4 linked regions of the Drosophila melanogaster genome follow. The protein of the gene in region 1 interacts with the protein of each later gene in a pairwise test. Each region holds a gene or a part of one and is shown in the gene's direction. Other genes may lie near its edges. The genes, in order: CG5823, CG14000, GABA-B-R1 and sit.

Evidence for each region.
Region 2: the proteins of CG5823 (region 1) and CG14000 interact in a two-hybrid assay, tested with the Drosophila melanogaster proteins (one large-scale study listed by BioGRID).
Region 3: the proteins of CG5823 (region 1) and GABA-B-R1 interact in a two-hybrid assay, tested with the Drosophila melanogaster proteins (one large-scale study listed by BioGRID).
Region 4: the proteins of CG5823 (region 1) and sit interact in a two-hybrid assay, tested with the Drosophila melanogaster proteins (one large-scale study listed by BioGRID).

Annotation. Positions count from the first base shown.
Region 1 is NT_033777.3:17,531,800-17,536,230, reverse strand, and holds CG5823 (uncharacterized protein), read left to right. Parts: upstream 1-1,643; 5' UTR 1,644-2,112; intron 2,113-2,173; 5' UTR 2,174-2,307; coding exon 2,308-2,608; intron 2,609-2,900; coding exon 2,901-2,971; intron 2,972-3,031; coding exon 3,032-3,511; 3' UTR 3,512-3,906; downstream 3,907-4,431. Other genes in the region: P5cr-2 (Pyrroline-5-carboxylate reductase-like 2), read right to left, coding at 1-198, 380-458.
Region 2 is NT_033779.5:5,908,427-5,912,096, reverse strand, and holds CG14000 (uncharacterized protein), read left to right. Parts: upstream 1-1,807; 5' UTR 1,808-1,852; coding exon 1,853-3,049; 3' UTR 3,050-3,161; downstream 3,162-3,670. Other genes in the region: bchs (blue cheese), read right to left, coding at 1-1,024, 1,080-1,266, 1,326-1,680, 3,162-3,407, 3,462-3,670.
Region 3 is NT_033779.5:15,014,515-15,019,354, forward strand, and holds the start of GABA-B-R1 (metabotropic GABA-B receptor subtype 1), read left to right. Parts: upstream 1-1,816; 5' UTR 1,817-2,882; intron 2,883-4,840.
Region 4 is NT_033777.3:22,557,788-22,564,488, reverse strand, and holds sit (stuck in traffic), read left to right. Parts: upstream 1-1,916; 5' UTR 1,917-1,964; intron 1,965-4,059; 5' UTR 4,060-4,179; coding exon 4,180-4,240; intron 4,241-4,313; coding exon 4,314-4,879; intron 4,880-5,220; coding exon 5,221-5,481; 3' UTR 5,482-6,147; downstream 6,148-6,701.

The DNA of each region.
Region 1 (4,431 bases):
TGCCCGAGCTCAATGGCTGAATCTCCGACAAAACCGAGGGAACCACTTGGGGTTTCACGGACACGAAGACCACATCCGATTGCTGCACAACGGGTGCATTCTTGATCACTGTTTCCACTCCCAGGGATTGAAAGGACTGCAGGGAGAGCTTATCTGCCGGATGGACGCTGGCTATCAGGGTATTGGGTTTGGCCAGGCCTAGGAAATGAATTAGGAAATTTGGCGATTATATGATGAAATCCTTAACGTCCTATCCTTTTGTATCTAATTATAAGATGATGTTAGTTCATATATATATTGCATATCCAAGTGTGTCTTATCTATTGTCTAGCACAAAGTATGTCAGACTACAAATCTATTTTATTAGTGGCTTTCTCACCGGCCGCTAGGAAACCCTTAGCCAAAGCCTTGGCCATATTCCCGCCTCCCAGGAATCCGATCTTTCCGATTGCCGACATTAGTTAATGGGTTAAAAAGTCCGCGGACTGTGAGTACTGAACTTTCTGCTGGTGGAACGGCAACTGTGCGCCCGCCGCCGGCGTTGACCAAAAACAGACGCGAGGATTGATAAGAAATCTTGCCCGGCCAACCCCCTCCCAATCCCCTGCGTTGAGGGAACAACACACCCAGCGATCTGAGCTTATCATTGAGGTTCCTATGTGTGGGTTCGGCAATCGACAGCGGGGCAAAATAATAATAAATACTAAGAACTTTTCACACATTGTAAATAAAGAAAACATTAAACTATTAATAGTGCTGTTTTACAATCGAATTATATTTGAATAAAAATAGTCATTAAAATCCACTTAAGATAGAGACAAATTTTTAATAGATCATAAATTACAACCCATTATTTAAAGTGAAGTTATTATGATTTCAGCTTATATAACAATCAATTATAATATTGATTGATAATATTGATTATATATAATATGTAGTTTAAAATACAGTTCAAGTGCCGCGATTGCTAATATTTTGCCCGCCGTTGTATTTCCTTATCATTTAGAACAACTGTCATCCGCAACTCATTCACCCATTAATCGGCGTGACGAAGTCCAAATTAATGCGAGATGCCGATGCCCTGTAATCCCTGTAATCGTGCGTTGATCCACTTTCGTGTTTTGGATTCCATTTCTATAAATTTCTATATAGCTGTACTCTTTGGCAATCCTTACTTACCAAGTTTCAAAAACATTCCGCACTTTAAGAGATAACAATCGTTATCAATGTGAGCGTGATAACAGTAGAGGCGATATACACATGCTTATTTGTAAAGGGCTACATTAGAAAACCAAAGTATTTACTTTGTATATTACAAAATATTGCCATAGGGATTTTGGGACATACCCGGGTATACTAGATACGTTGGAAAGTAGATACCGCCTAGTAAGCAATTTTCGAAAAGAGTTCTTTCTTCTTTTTATCATATCTCGCATTAAGTAACGGGTATTTGATAGTCCAGCAAATCGGCTAAAACTAAAAGATCTATATTTACTGTTTTCAAAGAATTGCACAGATTTGAGAGTCAGTTAATTAGCGGATACATACACCACTCCATCCAATTTTCTCACCGTATGCAGCAAAGTTTCCCTCCTTCACCACGTGGTGAGGAAGCCAACATAGACTCTGGTAACACTAAACTGGAGATGAAACTTACTTCCGCACACGGTACCACTAAACTCTTCATGCCAAAATAAAAGATTAAATTAAGATATTGCCAGCTCCAAACCCGGATATATAACCCCACAAGTGATTAATACGAATTAGGGGCATCCACTGTAGCGGAGTAAGCTCGTGATACTACCAAAATTTACCAAAGTCAAGCCCTAGTTGTCCCCTACACGTGTGTGAGTGTGTGTGTGCGGGTGTCGGTCGTGTGCGCCTGTATATGTGCGTTGTTTTCTCACTCAATTTCATTGCAATTTAAAAAAAAATCAACAAAAACGCAGTAACAGCAGCAACAACAATTAGAAAACGCACTTGTTACCGAGGTTGGCTGCCAGTACTAGAAAAGCAAACAATAAACAACCGAGCTGGCGAGACTGAAATCCATCGCATGATAAACACACCGAACAAGAATCTTCGACAGCTTCGAAATTCTGGAGAAGGACGGTACGTATTGGTATTTATGCGACCAGATACGAGTATAATTGATTTGCAAATTATTCCACAGGGCCACGTCGCTATCTTATCTGCTACAGTGAGAGAAAAACCAGTAGGCCAGTCGTGTTCGATCATAGTTTAGGTTTTCAAACTTGGGCGGTAGTAATTAAGTTCGTTAAAAATTAGCAAAACCAAAACAACACCATGTCCTCGTCGTCGACGTCCGGCGGCCGGAAGCAACCCACTGCTGTGTCGCGCATGAAGCAGGACTATATGCGCCTCAAGCGGGATCCCCTGCCGTACATAACCGCCGAGCCGCTGCCCAACAACATCCTCGAGTGGCACTACTGCGTCAAGGGGCCGGAGGACTCGCCCTACTACGGCGGCTACTACCACGGCACCCTGCTCTTTCCGCGCGAGTTCCCATTCAAGCCGCCATCCATCTACATGCTGACGCCGAACGGTCGCTTCAAGACCAACACCAGACTGTGTTTGAGTATATCAGGTATGTGTCAGTTCCATATCCGTAGGAGTCCGAATCCACAGCTAGAAATAAAGCGGATTGGTTGTCACAGTAGTAGAACATTAAAGAATGGGTAGTAACTACAGGCTTAAAGACTACCATTAACTTTGAACGCTGAATAGTTTTAGTTATGTTTGACGAAGCCGATGGACTTTGTGGCTTAGTCAAACATGTTTTTTGCGACCTTTCAAATAGATATTCGTGTATCTGTTTAGATCTGTTTAGATTCTATTGTTCCAAACATATAACTTATCAACCCTATTGGGATTTTCAGATTTTCATCCGGACACTTGGAACCCGACTTGGTGCGTAGGCACCATTCTCACTGGACTGCTGAGCTTCATGGTGAGTTATTACGAATACATGATCATACGTTTGAGTAAGCCAATCTTAAATCCTTCACAGCTGGAGAGCACACCCACACTCGGATCCATCGAATCATCGAACTATGACAAGCAAATGTTTGCTCAAAAATCACTAGCATTTAACCTGCGCAACACCAACTTCTGTGAGCTGTTTCCGGAGATAGTCGAAGAGATCAAGCAGCGGCTGCGAGGAACACAGGCGGCAGCTGCTGTGGACGGACCCGCTGCCAATGGAGTAAAGCGTTCCAACGGACTGGCCAACGGAGCGAGCCTGGCATCTGCGGATGGCAATCTGGCGGTGGGCGGCTTGGCCAATCCACTGAATGCAGCGGACGCAATCGATGGCGGGGCGGCGGGTCAGGCGGATTTGGCCAGCGGCGGAGGAGCGGCGGTCCAGAATAGTGCACGGAACTCCTATCTAAACTGGCAGTCCGTCTATTCAAACCTGGTGATCATTATCTGCTTTGCAATTTTTGCCCTCATTGTTAATTACGTGATCAAGAACCTGAATCAGGAATAGAATTACCGACACAGCCTCTATATTTATATAAAGAAATAGTTACACATCCGTATGCGTGTGCATATCTAATCTAGTTTACTTTAAAATAGTCTTCGTGGATTGTATACCGCTTGAGAAGTATTTACATACCCCGCTTGATTCAAAAACAACCGCACTAGACCCCCGGCATCCATTCCCACGATTCCCACGATTGCTGACTTAGTCTGAAAATTATCGGCAGCAAAATTTGAAAACACAAGAACACACAATTCAGAACTCGACTTGTGAAATTTAAAAATTGTTTTGTTATGTATTCATTACTATTAACGCCTAGTTTAATGCAACGTGAATAATGCCAGAAATATGTTTGTAAATGAATAAAGAAGCCCGGCAACATATGAGCTCGTGTACAAATTAACCAATATATGTGTGCGTTTCTTGATTATTAAATGGATCTTCATTTTCAGTCGCCACAAATTGCTTGGATGTTGGATGATTCAACTTGTATAATAAGTTGTAATTTGTAGTTGGCTTTTCGCTGGCTAAGCGGCTTAAGTATGAAGCAAAGTCCGCTGGCAGTCGGCAATAATTTTTCCTCACACTAGCTAAGTACGGCCAAATCCAATAAACTGATGCCTGGCTGGGCAACAATGTTACACATTTAAACCGCTTACATTGTTGGCCATCTTAAGCCGAAATTACACACATGACGCTTATTACTCCTGGAAGTGGGCGTTGCGGACCAAGTTCGATGGTTACAGTGAATTGTGGTTACCACAATCTATGTCTTTGAAGTAAAAACAATCTATGTCTTTGAAGTAAAAACTACAGAATAATACTATGATTTTTTTTTAAAACTATCTATAACCAGTATATATATTTATACGATATATTCGCTTTGTAGGAATATTTTATAGATTTAAAGTCGTTTTAATAGTTTT
Region 2 (3,670 bases), on another chromosome or scaffold:
GGTCACGTAAACGAATCCGCCCACTTTGCGGAATACGGTCCGTGTGCGATGAGAGTCCTTTAGGCAGCCGAGCAACATGTTTAGTATCTGAATCTTAAACTCCACTTGTAGTGGGCTGACGCTGTGCATCAGTGAGAGTATGTGCAGCATGTCGTCGTCTCCACCTGCGGACAGGATTAGCTCCCTTACGATTCCGAGAGCCTGCGGTCGGCAGTGCTTGAACTTCACCAACTCATGGACGCACTTGGCGCCACCGTACTCACGAAATAGTTGGGCATTGTTGCTGGCACCACCTCCCAGCAGCATGGTGAGGGCCTCCAGAACATGCTTTCCTAGTGTGTCGAACAGTTCTTCTTCGGATTCATTTTCCAGCTCCACCACCACTGACTCATCTCCCTTGGTTATTTTCTGCACATGAGCTGCATAGCGTGTTAGACAGCCAACAAAGATCTCCAGAATCCCCACTTCGCGGTAGACATCTTTAAATACAGCGTTGTGCCGGAGAATGTTTAACAGTGTCTTCAAGCAAAGAATGCTGCAGGACGTCGACTGGTTGTGCTTGAGCAATAGCGAAAGGCTGATCAGCTCCTTGCACGGCACGAAGTTCAGTTGGAAGACAATGAACTCCAGCAGATCGTAGAATTTTTCTTGTATTTGCGGGCTTTTCATGTGTATCCGCTCTGCGAACGAACTAAGCGTTTGCTCCGATTCCAGGATAAAGTAGTTGGCATTTTCCGAGTGGTACACCCGCGAAATGGCGTCCAGTATTGTGCAGCAGAGCGCAGGCGTCGTTGACTTAAGGAACACGTTCTGCAGCACCTGGAAGGCGTACACATTTCGCACGCATGTCTCTCGTGAGGTGGCCTGTGGGAGCTGGAAGTTCTGCAGTTTGAAAGCCGTATTAAACTGCGAGGCTGGCGGTCGAAGCTCGTAAAAGCCACACATGCACAACGAAGAGATCATCAGTACCAGATTTCGAATGGCCGCTTGAATCTCCAATGATTGGCTACGATTGTTGTCAAACCTAAAAATTAATATGAATATTAAGAAGTGCTTAAAAAAAGAACTATTGTACTTACTTGAGTAGAAAATCACTGAGAAACACGTAACCTTGAGATGCACGAAAATCATCCATCAAAATCTGGGATACCTGACTGGAGTCCTTGAGAAAGCAGAACACGGTGACGAACATTTCAACGATCTCCAAAGGATTTCCAAACGTCAGGCGCTGCATATTGTCCACGCAAAGTGCCATGCAGCCCTTGGCTAAATTAAGAAACATTTTAAGAATATTTAGTCATAATGATTAAGTCCACCATACTTACAATGTATATAGCTAACTACGGCATCGGTTAGGCCATTCCTTGATATTGTGGTCAGGATTTCAGCTGCGTTCTTGCGCCATACAATATTGTGGATGGGACATGGCGATGTGATGGCCGAGAATAGCAGCGTCAAGTCGTCCATGCGAGCTAGTTCCTCAGCGGGATACGGATACGAGCACAGCTTGACCAGCAGCTGCACAAACACCTTCTGCAGAAGCGTCCGCCTTTCATGGGCATTAAACTCACTTACTGCTCCACCGTCAGCTGAAGGCTCATCGTCCTCAACTATGGGCAGGTCGAAGAACAAGTACAAGCACTTCACTAAAGTAGAGGGAACCGCCGCAGCAGTCATGACCTGAAATGCAGCAATATTAGAATTGCTTAGTTAGTTTAGATTTAACATCTTAATTTAAGCCCGCAGCCCCGGCGGTGTTTTGTATTTTGAGATACAACTTTTCCCGCAGAACCTTTTTCATCTGTTGCCAAAACTAAATCTAAACCATTTTAAACTAGAATACGTCTGTGAAATGAACCAGGTTTGGGTGTTTTTTAAACTCATCGAGGTGTTGCTGGGCAGTGTTTGTATGTTTTTCCACATACGCGGCTCATCCTACTGGCCAGAGCGTACTCCTCATGTGATCCTATATTGTGCCACATTTTCGTCCTTTACGGCGCTCGCCGCTCTAGGCGCGTTCCGACTGCTATTGGCTAGGAGTACGGTGCTCTCCTCCCAGCTCCTGCTCACACTGAGTGCCGTGCTGTCGCACTATTTCTGCGGCGTGCTGATAATGCGCACCGCCATGCTGGACCCTCACCTGGCCTTCATCAATTCTACCATCGAGTATCTGGAACATCCGCACTTTGCGCACTGCAAGCAGCAGAGCATCGCTGCGCTGGTTACTGGCACCATGTACCTGATGCACATGTTCCACGTGTTCGACCTGCTGATGCGCATGGAACCCGGCGACTGGAAACGTCAGGCGACTGGCCGTAAGTACTTTGAGGGAACAGAGTCTGGTTCAACCGGGCTATTTGTGCTTTCCAAGCCAGTGGACGACTTTCTATGCAAATGCTGCAGGTGCTACTATAAGTTGGCCAATTCTCAGATCCTGTACTTCCGGCCGAACGCGGAGGTGGAGCAGCCGCACTTTATAGTCCGCATGTGGCAGTTCATTGGGGATGCGCGTAAAAAGTTCTTTTCGCTGCATCAGATCGAGAGTGACGAGAGTTTTCTATCAACGCCAACAATAACCACCAGTGAATCGGATATCACACCGGTGGACACGGAGTACAGTGTGTACATGGAAGAGCAGGCCAATAAGATGCGCAGGTCTGCTTCAGCCTGGCGCGGCTCCAGCGATTCCTCGAGCTTGTGGGCCAAAATCGAGGACAGGAGCACTGTTAGCCTTGTTTCAACTCGGTCAAGTGAGAACAGCGAGGCCACAATGAAACCCATTCAAATGGATCGGAAGCTAGCCCGGCGATCTTCCATGTGGGCGGACACTGAGAAAAGGGAGAAATCGGAGATTTTGCTGGTAGAACAGGGCTCTAGCTATTCTCGGCTCAGAACTTTAAGCAATGCTGAATTGGTCCATAAGCCAAGCGATGCGGGAGAAAAGGAACAACAAGTTCCAGATGCAGCCAACCCAAATATTACAAATGAAGAAGCTACGAACTCACACATCGAATTCTCTTTGAAGCCTGGAACTGAGAAAACTTCGTGAATTTGATGACGACTTTCCCTAACGAAAATTGTAGCTATTGAAATTTTTTGTTTTGATTACGTCGATGTATTTTTACCATAAGATACTATAGCAGTTTATAAATGAAACATACCTGTATGAGAGATACGTCTCCATTGGCCAACAAATTGAGGGTAGCCAAAAGCATCCATCCGCTGCTGGTTTCCTCGGTGGTTTCCACCTCGAGAAACTTGACTATGGCAATGGATGCCGCCTCTGTGCTCTGGTTGGAGGCGCGCTTGCGGATTTCGCTGACCATGAGACGGGACACTTGCTGGCAGAAGGCGACCACGTCCCAGAACTTTTCGCTCATGTCGTTTGACGGACAGCTGCTGAAGACCTGTAAGAATGGGGAGTTAGTGGCCTATTCCTCCATACCGACTGATTCACTCACTTTGCAGAAGAGGGGCAGCATCTCGTAGAGCTTGTCATCGCGCTCCTGTTCGCTCAGCGGCTCCCGCGGATGAGTGTATTCGTTGAATAGCTTCTTTAGCGTGGTGAGGCTCACTTGGACGCGGGCGTCCATCAGCGCCTCCTCCGCATTCCGTCCATTTGCAGCGGTCGGTGCACCAGCATCCGTTCTGCTGCTCCCTGGTGAACTGT
Region 3 (4,840 bases), on another chromosome or scaffold:
CTATTCTTTAAAAAACTTATAATTTCATTTTAACAGAATATATTTATATATTTACAATAAAACATTATGCATTTTTTCTCTTTTCATGGAAATCCATAACAAGCCACAATCTTTTCAATTAACATTATCACACTATTTCATGTTGATTGCTGATTGCAGCTGTGCCTGCAAATGTTTTAAATCGCCCATTCAATAATAACTTTCATTTTATTGAATAGTTTTAGGAGATTACCATAACATAAAATAAACGTTCTATTCAAAGCAAATTCGCTAAATATTTCACTGAAAACATTTATAATTTTATGTAATTAAAACGTGAATTTAGAGTGAACTAGAAATCAAAATCAGAGTTCAAAATAATAGCTGGCCTATGCCAAAATAACATTGGAATACAGAAAATTCATAAATAAATCATCAATTTATCAATGCATAACAATTGCGCAATGTTAATTTTCAAACTGCTGTTTACCAATTTGCTCTTGAGTGGATTTGGTTTAATTAGTGCCGTTTCTGCTCTAACTGTCTATGAAATCAATTCAAATATCTAAACAATAAGTGCGTTCTGTAACCTATACGGCAGTGCAAATATAGGCCATAACCCATGCCCTCGTATTCACACATCTGAAAGTTATTTAATCCGCTCAGCAATTTCGATTGCCATTTATTCACTGGCAGAGTTCAAGACAAGTGCATTTCAGCATACCCGAATTCCACATGCGGACATAAATATTTGAGTAATTGATTTCCCAAGTCGACGATGGGAAAACTTCCAATTTCTTGGCTTGACTACTTTTGGGCCAATGCAAATGGTTTATTTTTGACCGCAGAATCCTTCGACTTGAGCGGACAGTTGAGGTTCTCGAACTAATTGCAAAATTGTCAATGATTTATTCAGTTGGCAATTAAGGTGCCAACTAACGGTGTGGCTGGCACGGCTATATCGATTTGAAAATATTCAATAATCCCGGAGCCTTGATAAGCTCATCAAACATGCACATGGCCATCAGCAGGGGGGGGCAAGTTTGTATTTAGAGCCAAGTGTGTTTGGTGAAGGGGGGTTAGCTGTATATTTCAGGGTTTCCCCTTTTTTTGTCGAGCGGTTTGGGGGGGGGTTTTGCGAGGGGACACAAAAGTACAAGTTGCTATGGATCAAGCTCAAGGCGTGGCAGTTGGGCATTAGCTCTATGGTGGAGCACGGCAACCAAGCGAACAAAGGTCAACTCGACAAGTGAGTTAAATGACAAGGACCTCACCTTGCCTTCCTTGGGCTTCGGCTTTGGCTTTGGCCCGTGCGTGTTTGCATGTTTGGCTCGATGAGGCGACGCGACCCCAAAAATGAAACTCAACTTTGGCTTTGACTGCGGCTCGGGATTGTGGCGTGCAAGCATTATGGCCTTTCGCTTTCAAAACAATGCCCCCATCCTGTTTCCCGGTTGGCCTAGTGGCACTTGCTCCTTGTTGTTGGTTTTTCGCATTGCCCTTGGCCAATTGCGAGTGAATTTTGATGTTTTGACTGGCCATTCCTGGGGCCATTTGACAACTCTATAAAACCGGTGTCCTTAAGCCCGCCCTCGTCCTTGCGCCCAACCCCCAATTACCGTCCAACTACCACCCACCTACACCCCGCTACACCCACCCACAAAGTAAACGTAATTGCCCGGAGAGTTTCGCGACTTTCGACTTGGCCAGCAAACTGAAAAAGCGAAACTTCAAAAAACCCGACTTGACTTGGCAACTGGAAAAGTGGAAAAGCGGAAGCACGAGCTTTCCCACCGAAAAGCTCTCGTGCTCTAAGCTTTCGTCCTGGCGAGGCGAAAACGTAAATGTCAGTCATGGAGTTCCAGTCGTCGGATACATGTGGAACACAACGAACACAGCAGGAGCCTCTCGCGTCTCATCCCCCGAATACAATGCGAAAAAGTCTGTACAAAAAATAGACAAATAAGGAGCAGGAGCGAAAACACCACTCTGTGCATAAGATATAACTCCCGCAGAACTGAATACCTGCAAAAAGAAATACGCGTTAAATGGAATTACGGTGCGGGAATTGATAAAGTGAAGTGTGTTACAGCTAGAAAGCAAGTGAAATAAAACGAATACATTAATAATTCATGCCCCTCATAGTCAGAAGCTTACTAGTTTGATAAGGAATTCAACGTAAATCTGATATAGTAATGTAGAAAAGTTGTACAAAGTAATATACATAGCATATAGCATATAGCACAGTTACACAGAACACACCGCAAACTCAAACAAAGTTGACAAAAAAAAAGCTCACGCCCCTCACATCTCAGTTTTTTCTCGAATTATTTGTGAAAGTGCAACAAACATATATAAAAAATAAAAAAGAAAAGGGAGGAGAGAGCACAGCAAAAAAAGGCAGTGACAGCAGGACCTGCAAAGGAATTGCCATCATTTGGGGATTACGGAATTATCGGGATCCGTTCTCATTAAAATGGATTTAAGGCAATGCCGATGTGCTGAGCTGCATTTGTGCATGGGATTATCGATTGTAATGCGCAGTCATCAAATTATGTTTGAACAACGCCGCCGCGACAGCGATAATAGCAACAATAACAACAACAACAACAACCAAATCAACAACAAACACTGATTTGGCCCCTGACCCCCTTTGGCAGCACCCCCTCCATCCAACACCCCCTACGACCCTGCCCAAGCAAAAGGAGCAGCGAAAAAGAAGAAGCGTCTTATGAAACAATTGAAGCACCGGCCAAAGGAGCAAAGGAGCAGACAAAGACAGAGACAAAAACATCGGCAAAGGATAAAACGGAGGCCGAGAAGAAGAGGAAGCAGTAGTAGCAAAGCAGGAAACAACAACAACAACAACCGCAACATCGCATTTTTAAACGGCAATACGCAAAGTAAGTGAAGTGTAAAGTGAGCGAGATGGCAATAGAAAGGTGTAGAGTGCCGCGAAGAGAGGCGGAGAGAATACACTTGCAAAAATGTGAGCAGCTAATTCCCAGGGATGTTAAAAAAAATTAAACCCTCATGGTTCAAAGATTCTAGGAGATGGACAAGTGATGAATGGTCAGTGGAAATATATGTATGTTTTAAGCCAAGTGAAATCAAAATGATTTGAGAAGTACAAATAAAAGAAAGAAAGGAAAGAATGATATATGATATTTATTGGTTGTAGTACAGGAAAATAATAGTTAAAATGATATCCCGGATTGATGGTCATTACAATGATCGTACCACAAAACTCTTTCTAACTCAAATTAAATTGTTAAAATTATTTTTCAATACAAATTTGATATATTTTTGTTTTTTCGCCGACAAGATGCATAGATCTTTCATAGAATCTGAAATCTATATCTTTTTTATATTGCTTTTGAGAAGAGTAAACCGATCATCATCTACGATCACTCCTTTTTGTTCTGTGTAGGTATGAAGAGAGCAGGTGGGAAGGCAGTGAAGTGAAGTGAAGCATTTGTCGCATTTGTGCAGAATTCCCGACGTAATTAATGTTTAAAGTCTGTGTGTGTGTATGTGTGCGAAGGTTTGTAAACTAGGTCACTAGGAAGTTAGCCCCTTGACGACCATCCCCTCTCATCAGCGCCTCTTCAGCGGCAACTCTACGTCAAAGGTGTCAACTCGCCAAATCTGCAACCACACCTTAGTTAAGTGAGCCACCCCGTAGCCACCAAAATTATCCACAGCACCACCACCTTTTATTCGTCCTTAACACACCGCCATGATTAACGCGCCTCAGTGCGATTAACTGGCAAACAAATTTGGAGTGACGCTGCGGCGATGTACATACATACATATATGTATGCATGTTTGTGCTAAACCGACAGCATTTCCATTCAATAACACACGCGGCTCGTATGCAAACACTGTAAAAAGGTTTTATGCTAAAAAAGACGCCGTATTTGTGCATGAAAAACTGTCATTCATCATCCAACCAACACAAATAACCGGTAATGGCATCGCCACATTATGGCTTTGTATTTTTTACATCCTCAAACACAAAAAAACTTTAGTTGATTTCTGACTTGCATCGCATTCATCACCCACTAAAGTCGAGCAATCAATCCTCAAAATACGTATACGCACTGTTAGTTCAGTTGATTAATAGGCTAATTATGAAGGAAACTGAAAGGAAACACTAAATCAATAAATCCTGGCAAATTAGCATCAGTATATATTTGTGTTAGTGCAAACATTTAAGTTTTCTATCAATTTTAAATACAAATATGTTCAGAATTAAGATATATTTCAAAGGGAACTATGCTTTGTTTAATTAAGATTTAAGGTTTTATAACTATAAAAGCCTTCAAAATGTGCCATCTATTTTATATTCACTTACAAGCAGATTTCAATCAAGACCACTCTTTAATATGATATATTATGTCTAGAACAACCGAGAAGGCACTCTTAAATTAAATATTTTAGTACCGTAATAAATTATGAAACGTGCTGACGGTAAAATATATAATACAATTCATACTTTAAGTTATATTTTTTTTTTGCCCTATATGGTTTTACGTATCGGTGTGTATGTGAGTACCTCGCACACGCAGGACATAGAGATAAAAAGGCTTCTCCCACATAAAAGTTCTATTCTGTTTTTTTTTTTTTATAGAAAAATATTGCTGGCAGGAGTTTAGAACATTGCCAAAGGGGATGCGGACAGATGAAGGGGCGGGGGCGTGGCGGGTAAAAGCCATAAAACTCAGGCGCCGAAGCGCAAAATGCCCTTGCCCTGAACAAAAAGAAGAAATTGAACAGCAACAACCAACAACAAAAACAAAGAAGAACAAGAGCAAATAAAATACAAACTGCTTATTTATTTATTTGTTTCGACAAATCT
Region 4 (6,701 bases), 5.0 Mb from region 1:
CGGTTTGTTCGCCAGTTTGACTGTTGGCTAAATGTAAATGTTTGCGGAAGATATTTGCATAACTGGCAGCAACCCCTCAGATACATTTATATATACATACATACATACATACATATATATCGAACTCGATCGCATGAATCGTCTGCAGCGACAGCGATAATAAACTAACGTCTTTTGCATACGATTATGATCCGCTTGATGGCTGGTGGCCAAACAAAAGACGAATGCAAATGAAATCCGAAACACCGGAAGAATTTGTCACTGGCTGAGGCGCACACGGCGTATGATTGATTCCTGGCCAACGAAGGGATTCACCCGATCAACCATACGCCCGGTCGACATTCACCCACATCTTATGCAGTCCACTCGGATTCGAACTCGAACTGGTTGGCATAAGCTAATCGGCAAGTTCAAGTTCAATTCGCCGGTGACACAGTTAACATTTCGGTGACCCCAGCCTCAGCCTCTGTTTTTTTTTTTCTCAGACATCGAAGTTCGAAGTCTTGGCCAAAATAGTTGCTATCGGTTTGGTTTCATTAACTTGACCCGGAAGTGGGCCTTAATCGATGCGCTGCGATCATTGTGGGTCGTTAGAATCCGATTCCGAATCTGATTCCGAGCCCTGGGCCCAAAGAATTTGTATGTAAATTGCCAGGTAAATGCGCCGTTTCCTTGAATAAACTTTACAAACACTTTTAACGAAATACTTCTGGCTGTAAACCTTTCCGCTTTATGCCGATAATAGCAATGTTTTAGGCTTGTTTTAAATAGTTTTCAAATTGCTTGTAAAACAGTCTAGGGAATTTCGCTGATTCGCCAAAAAAAAAGGTCAACGAAATTATAAACCACCTACGCAGTTTCAGTTCAGTTCAGTTGGGTTAGGTTCTAAAGTTCATACTGGAGTTAAAGCGTGAATAAGTATTTCAAGTGGGTCAAGGTTACGAAAGCGAATTTGGATGAAGATATAAAAAAAGGGAGAATTACCAGAAACCGAAAACAAAATAGAATGAACATTTCATTCTGAGGCGATTTGAGACTATTTCTAGGGTTTGTTGTCATATTCTGGCTAATGATGAAAGAGCCTAAGGGAATGGATAAATAATACTCTATAATGACTGAATGTTGTTTAAAAAGCTATTAATTGAGAGAAAATGAAAGTATCATTAGGGTACACATACGTATATGTAGAATATATTCTCATTTGATAGAATGTTAGTTTCTGTTTGTTATTAGCAAACTAATCAGAGTTGTCCGCTGGGATTGGCTGTGTTTTCTAAAATAAAAACATTTTACTTTGCAAATGTTTAAATGAATTTTCTGTTTATTAGGTCTTGTTATTCAAATTTCTGGAAGCACGCTCAATGCCATAAATTCGCTATCCTCTAAGTTCTACCGCAATCGCTTTGACCAAATCGATCAAAAGTGACAACTATTCAAGAATATTTTATGATTCTTTTAATTGTACAAAAGGCTGCACAACCAAATACAAAACGAATTAAAAGCCAGACGATTTTGGCCAACAACAGCAACAAAAAGCCGGCAACACGCACACACAACACCAACATTGTTATCGCAATTATCATAGAAAAACGAGACCATACGAGACCATTCGATACATTTTGTGTATGTAGCATATAGCATATAGCGTTTGGAATCCACGAGGCACAAAAGAACATCTTAAAGCTAAAGCTAAAGTCAAAGATGAGGATGAGCAAGATGCCAAATAGCCGAGACAAAAGTTCGGCTAAACAAAAACTAAAGCTGAATCTAAACGCCGAACTGAAGATGAACTGAATACAGATACAGAAACAGATACAGATACAAAAACAAATCGGAAGGCAGAGACGAAGAAACAGCAGTGCCAAATCGAACCTTTAGTCGAAATTTTTATACATAGCGCCGTACAACTCGGCGGAGCAGTTCAGTGCGCGTACAAGTCTCGTGGGTAGCGGATGCCAGCAAAGGTATCTCCCCACTATACAATAATATACCATACTAAACTATACTATACCACACCACACCACATAGTGCCTCATATCAGCCTCATTTGAGCAAGACTAAAGATGGAACAAGACTAAAAAACAGTTGTCACGGTGCTAACATTAAGTTGTCGTCGCTCAAAATTAAGTGCACGGCAATCGAAGAGATTGCAACAGGTGCCCAACAAACCGCTTCATCTGTGTGTGCCAGTGTGTGTGTGTAGATATATCTGAGTGATCAATCAGATCAATCGTTGGAGGCGAGCAGTTATAGAATTCGTGGCTTAGACTGGATTGATACGCTGGTAGAGGTCCCTGAAAGTGAAGTTCTGTAGCTATTCAATCGACAGATCAGCTGACAAGGAAAGGTTTATAAAGTTTGTGCATTTCAATAGTTAGGGTACATATCCTTAAAAATCAACAAAGTATTTCAACACTTAAAAGGCTAGTAAAGATGAGCAAGGATACGCTTGTGTTTACATCTTTCTAAAATTTGCTTAGAAGCACAAGTAGATGATACTTCATATTTTGTATCTTTCACTTCCATGCCTAATATTTAGCTTAGATCAGCAAACTTTTTTTTTTTGCATAGAACAAGTGCCATATGAGGAGTTTAGCGATCTCCACCTGTCAAGGTCATTAAACCAATGCGACACATATTTGATTTTGGCAAAAACAAAACCGCCGTCGTCCAAATTGGGCAATAGGTGACACAATTTTCTATTTGCTCGCTCTAGGTGCTTCCAAGGTTTCCCACATCTCCGGACATTTACCAAATGACTAACCAAGTGGAAATACCCTCAAATTGGCTGGCGATGATCAGCCAGACACGACGGCGTCCAAATGATGCGACATCTTATGGCTTAGATCATAATTCCCACCCATTCCCGAACACACACAAAATAAAAAAGAGCAAGAAACGCATGGCAAGGTCGTAATTCCAACTGAAAATTGATAAACTGGATTTTCTTGGCCAGTATTTTGTGCGGCCAACAAAAGTGTTTAGCACCTTTTGGCTTATGACTGCCATTTGTCGCCTTCCCCCTCAAGATTTTCTGGCCCCATTCTGCGCTAACTGTTGCAGGTAATATTCAAACGGAGCCATAACACCTGAAGTGCAGGAAATGACCGGAGAGCTGAAGCCAAACCTGTTGATGGCTGCTGATAGCCGACTGGAGTGTTGGCCAAGTTGCCCTTCAAAATATCTCCTCAGTCGTTTTTTTTTTTATTTCAATTTGTTCCTCACTTCGCAGACCAAGAAGCCGATCAGAATAGCCTCGAAAACGACGCAAGAAATCATAATGCTATTCGATTATTTTGTGGTCTTAATCGGCCTTAGCCAAGTTCAAGTGTGAGTCGACTTCAAGTCAACGAACGTGAATGCTTGGAATTTAGCATGGGTGCTTGATAGCTCGATGGTTCTCAAATGCCCCCTTTGGAGGAGCAAGTTCTTGGCGATGATTAATCACCGGGAGTACCACTTCACTCTGTCCCACTTTGGACTAAACGACTTCTGTAGAAGATCCCCGAGATCCGTAAGAGAGTGGCAAGCAACAGCTCAAAACCAAACAAACTGCACAACACAAATATAATTTAGCTGGGTGTGCGAGTGGGTTTTATGCGTTCCACACGTGAGGCACTGAGGCACTGCCCAATTTACTTGGGTCTTGTATCTCGGGTCGTGAGGCAACCAACCAACCATGGTATGGGCCATATGGAGTTGAAGTTTTGAGGTGGCCACCAATTTGTTGCGGGCTGTTGTGCGCTGCGGTTGTTTAATTCATAATAATGAATATAATTTACTGTTACTGTTACATGATAATTTCACGGCATTTCACCGTCACCGTCACACATTTGCTATTTGCTATTCTCCTTCGCCTTCGTTTGATTATTATTTTAATTTTATTTAGATTTCTGGGCTCGGCAACAGCAACAGCAAAAGCAATGGCAAAAGCTGTAGCTGAAGCTATAGCTTTGGCATTAGTTGCTCGAGAATCGCATTAACATAACTTAACTACGAAAACTCGAAAAGATCTTTCCCTCATCCAGACTCCCTTCCGATCTTCCCAATTCCATTTAGATTTCGCAAAACTCGTTCGTTGCGACGCAGGCTAAGCAGATTTTTGAATTTCACATCGAAACGATCGTCGCTATATAATCGTATTTGTGGGAGCAAGAGTCCAACGAGGAGAATTTAAAAATGGCAGCCGTCAACGCAACACAGGTGGACTATTGGAATTTTCTGTTCACCGATCTGGCAGGTGAGTTGGATGGGGAGGGGAACTACCTGTGCCGCATATAGATGCTGATCAAATCCCTGATATTCCCACGCAGATCCCCGCACCAATGACTGGTTCCTGATCAAGTCGCCACTGCCCCTGCTGGGCATCCTGGCCTTCTATCTCTTCTTCGTGCTGTCCTGGGGACCCAAGTTCATGAAGGATCGCAAACCCTTCAAGCTGGAACGCACCCTGCTCGTCTACAATTTCTTCCAGGTAGCCCTCAGTGTTTGGATGGTCTACGAGGGCGTGGTCATCTGGCAGTACTACAGCTGGCGGTGCCAGCCGGTTGATTGGTCCCGCACACCCAAGGCGTATCGTGAGGCGCGCGTCGTCTATGTCTACTATCTGGCCAAGATTACCGAGCTGCTGGACACCATTTTCTTTGTGCTGCGCAAGAATGACCGACAGGTGACCTTCCTGCATGTCTACCATCACACGGTGATGCCCATGATCAGCTGGGGCACCAGCAAGTACTATCCCGGCGGACATGGCACCTTCATTGGCTGGATCAACTCCTTCGTGCACATTATCATGTACTCCTACTACTTCCTCTCCGCCTTCGGACCCCAGATGCAGAAGTATCTGTGGTGGAAGAAGTACATCACCAACCTGCAGATGGTAAGAACGCTTTATACGCTATCCATAGATATCTGTAGTATTTCAATTTGAGGGGTTATAAGAGGTTTATTACTTGCTTTGCTAATGACTTCATCTTAGAACTAAATAGGAAAGCACTTAAGTGGAAAATATTCAAATGTATTCTTTGATTTTAGGGCTGCACTTAAAAGTGATATATAGTTTTATTTTGTTGTGAGATACTAGAGCTCTACAACCATTTCATTTTAAAATTATCTAGATTAGTATAAGTACAAAACAGATAGATTCAGAAATAGATAGCACCTCATTCTTCCTTATCGATAGCTCTTAATGGTCTCCCGATTTTACGATTATTCTTACAGATCCAGTTCTGCTGCGCCTTCATCCACCAGACGCAGCTGTTGTACACGGATTGTGGGTATCCCAGGTGGTCGGTGTGCTTTACCCTGCCCAACGCGGTGTTCTTCTACTTCCTGTTCAACGACTTCTACCAGAAGTCCTACAAGAAGAAGCAGGCTGCTGCCAAGGAGAAGGCTCTGTCGGCGGATAACAATAATGATGGATGTGCCAAGGACCTCAACAAGGCAATTCAGCTGCAGCAGGAGAAGCAGAAGGCCTTGTAAGAGGGAGGAGCACAAACACCCACCGCCACCCACCCACACACACCACCCTCAACACACAAAACCCCTTCAATACTCGTACAAAAGGGCGGGTAGAAACACCCACTGAGAGCCACCCATGTTCTATGTGCAACCTTGTTGACTAATTTCTTAAGTAATCCGCCGCCAAATAGACGTGAAGCACGAAAAAAAAAAGAAAATCAGAAACGAGACGAATAGATATTTGAGCAAATGAGGTTTTCGAGACACAGATACACATATTATGTAAATGTAAATGTAAATGTTCAAACAGTTGAAATTGCTTTTTGCCGCCATCGTCATCATCATCGCTCGCTCCGTTTGAAGTTCGCCATCGTGTCGGGCGGACCCAAATGAAAGAAGTCGTATGTCTTTCGGCCAAAACTGAAACTGAACTAAGTTAAGTAAACAGGCAGAAGAAGCGTTAGTTGTGTAAATAAGTGTAGGTACGCATGCGAATGTGTTTTCTTTAGATTTTATATACGTGTGGTATGTAAAGTAGGCATTAAACAAGTGAAAAACTAGCTAATAACGAAACCATAAATACAAACACAATTTACAAATAAATCTAGAATTTTTTCTACAAAAATATCGTAAAAAAACAATGAGCCTTATTCTTTATCTTATGAATGGGAAATTAACGGAAGTGAGAACTGACACTCCTAGTGTCAATATACTGAAAAAGATCTCAACTTTGCTTTTATGGGAATTTTTCATATAAATCTGTTTTTATGTATCGTATATTTGTCAAAAAAGTCTGACATTTTTAATTAATAGATCACTTTATCAGGATCATGTACCCCATACTATTTCTTTATAGTTTGAATGATCTTGTTTTCAATACATTTAAAAGTTTTTTCCTTTTGACGCAATAATATATTATACTTTTAAATGAATTACTTTTCATTTAAAGAAATAATGAATTAATGCAATTGGCCTTGAAAACATTGCATATTCAAGCATTTCCTGTAATCATTTGTGTTCATTCAACTTGTATTTATGGTTTCAAGCCACTTTAATGGTATATTTGTCTTTTCGACAACATTGGGGTATCTCCCAAAGAGCAATCACACCCATTTGCATCCCAATCTAGCCATTCATGATCTCAGTAAGCCTCAGATAAATCGCACGAGGTAACCTTTGCTCAAGGAACCAACTCAAATCGATTGACCAGCTGATATATGTATGTATAACCAAGAACCTAT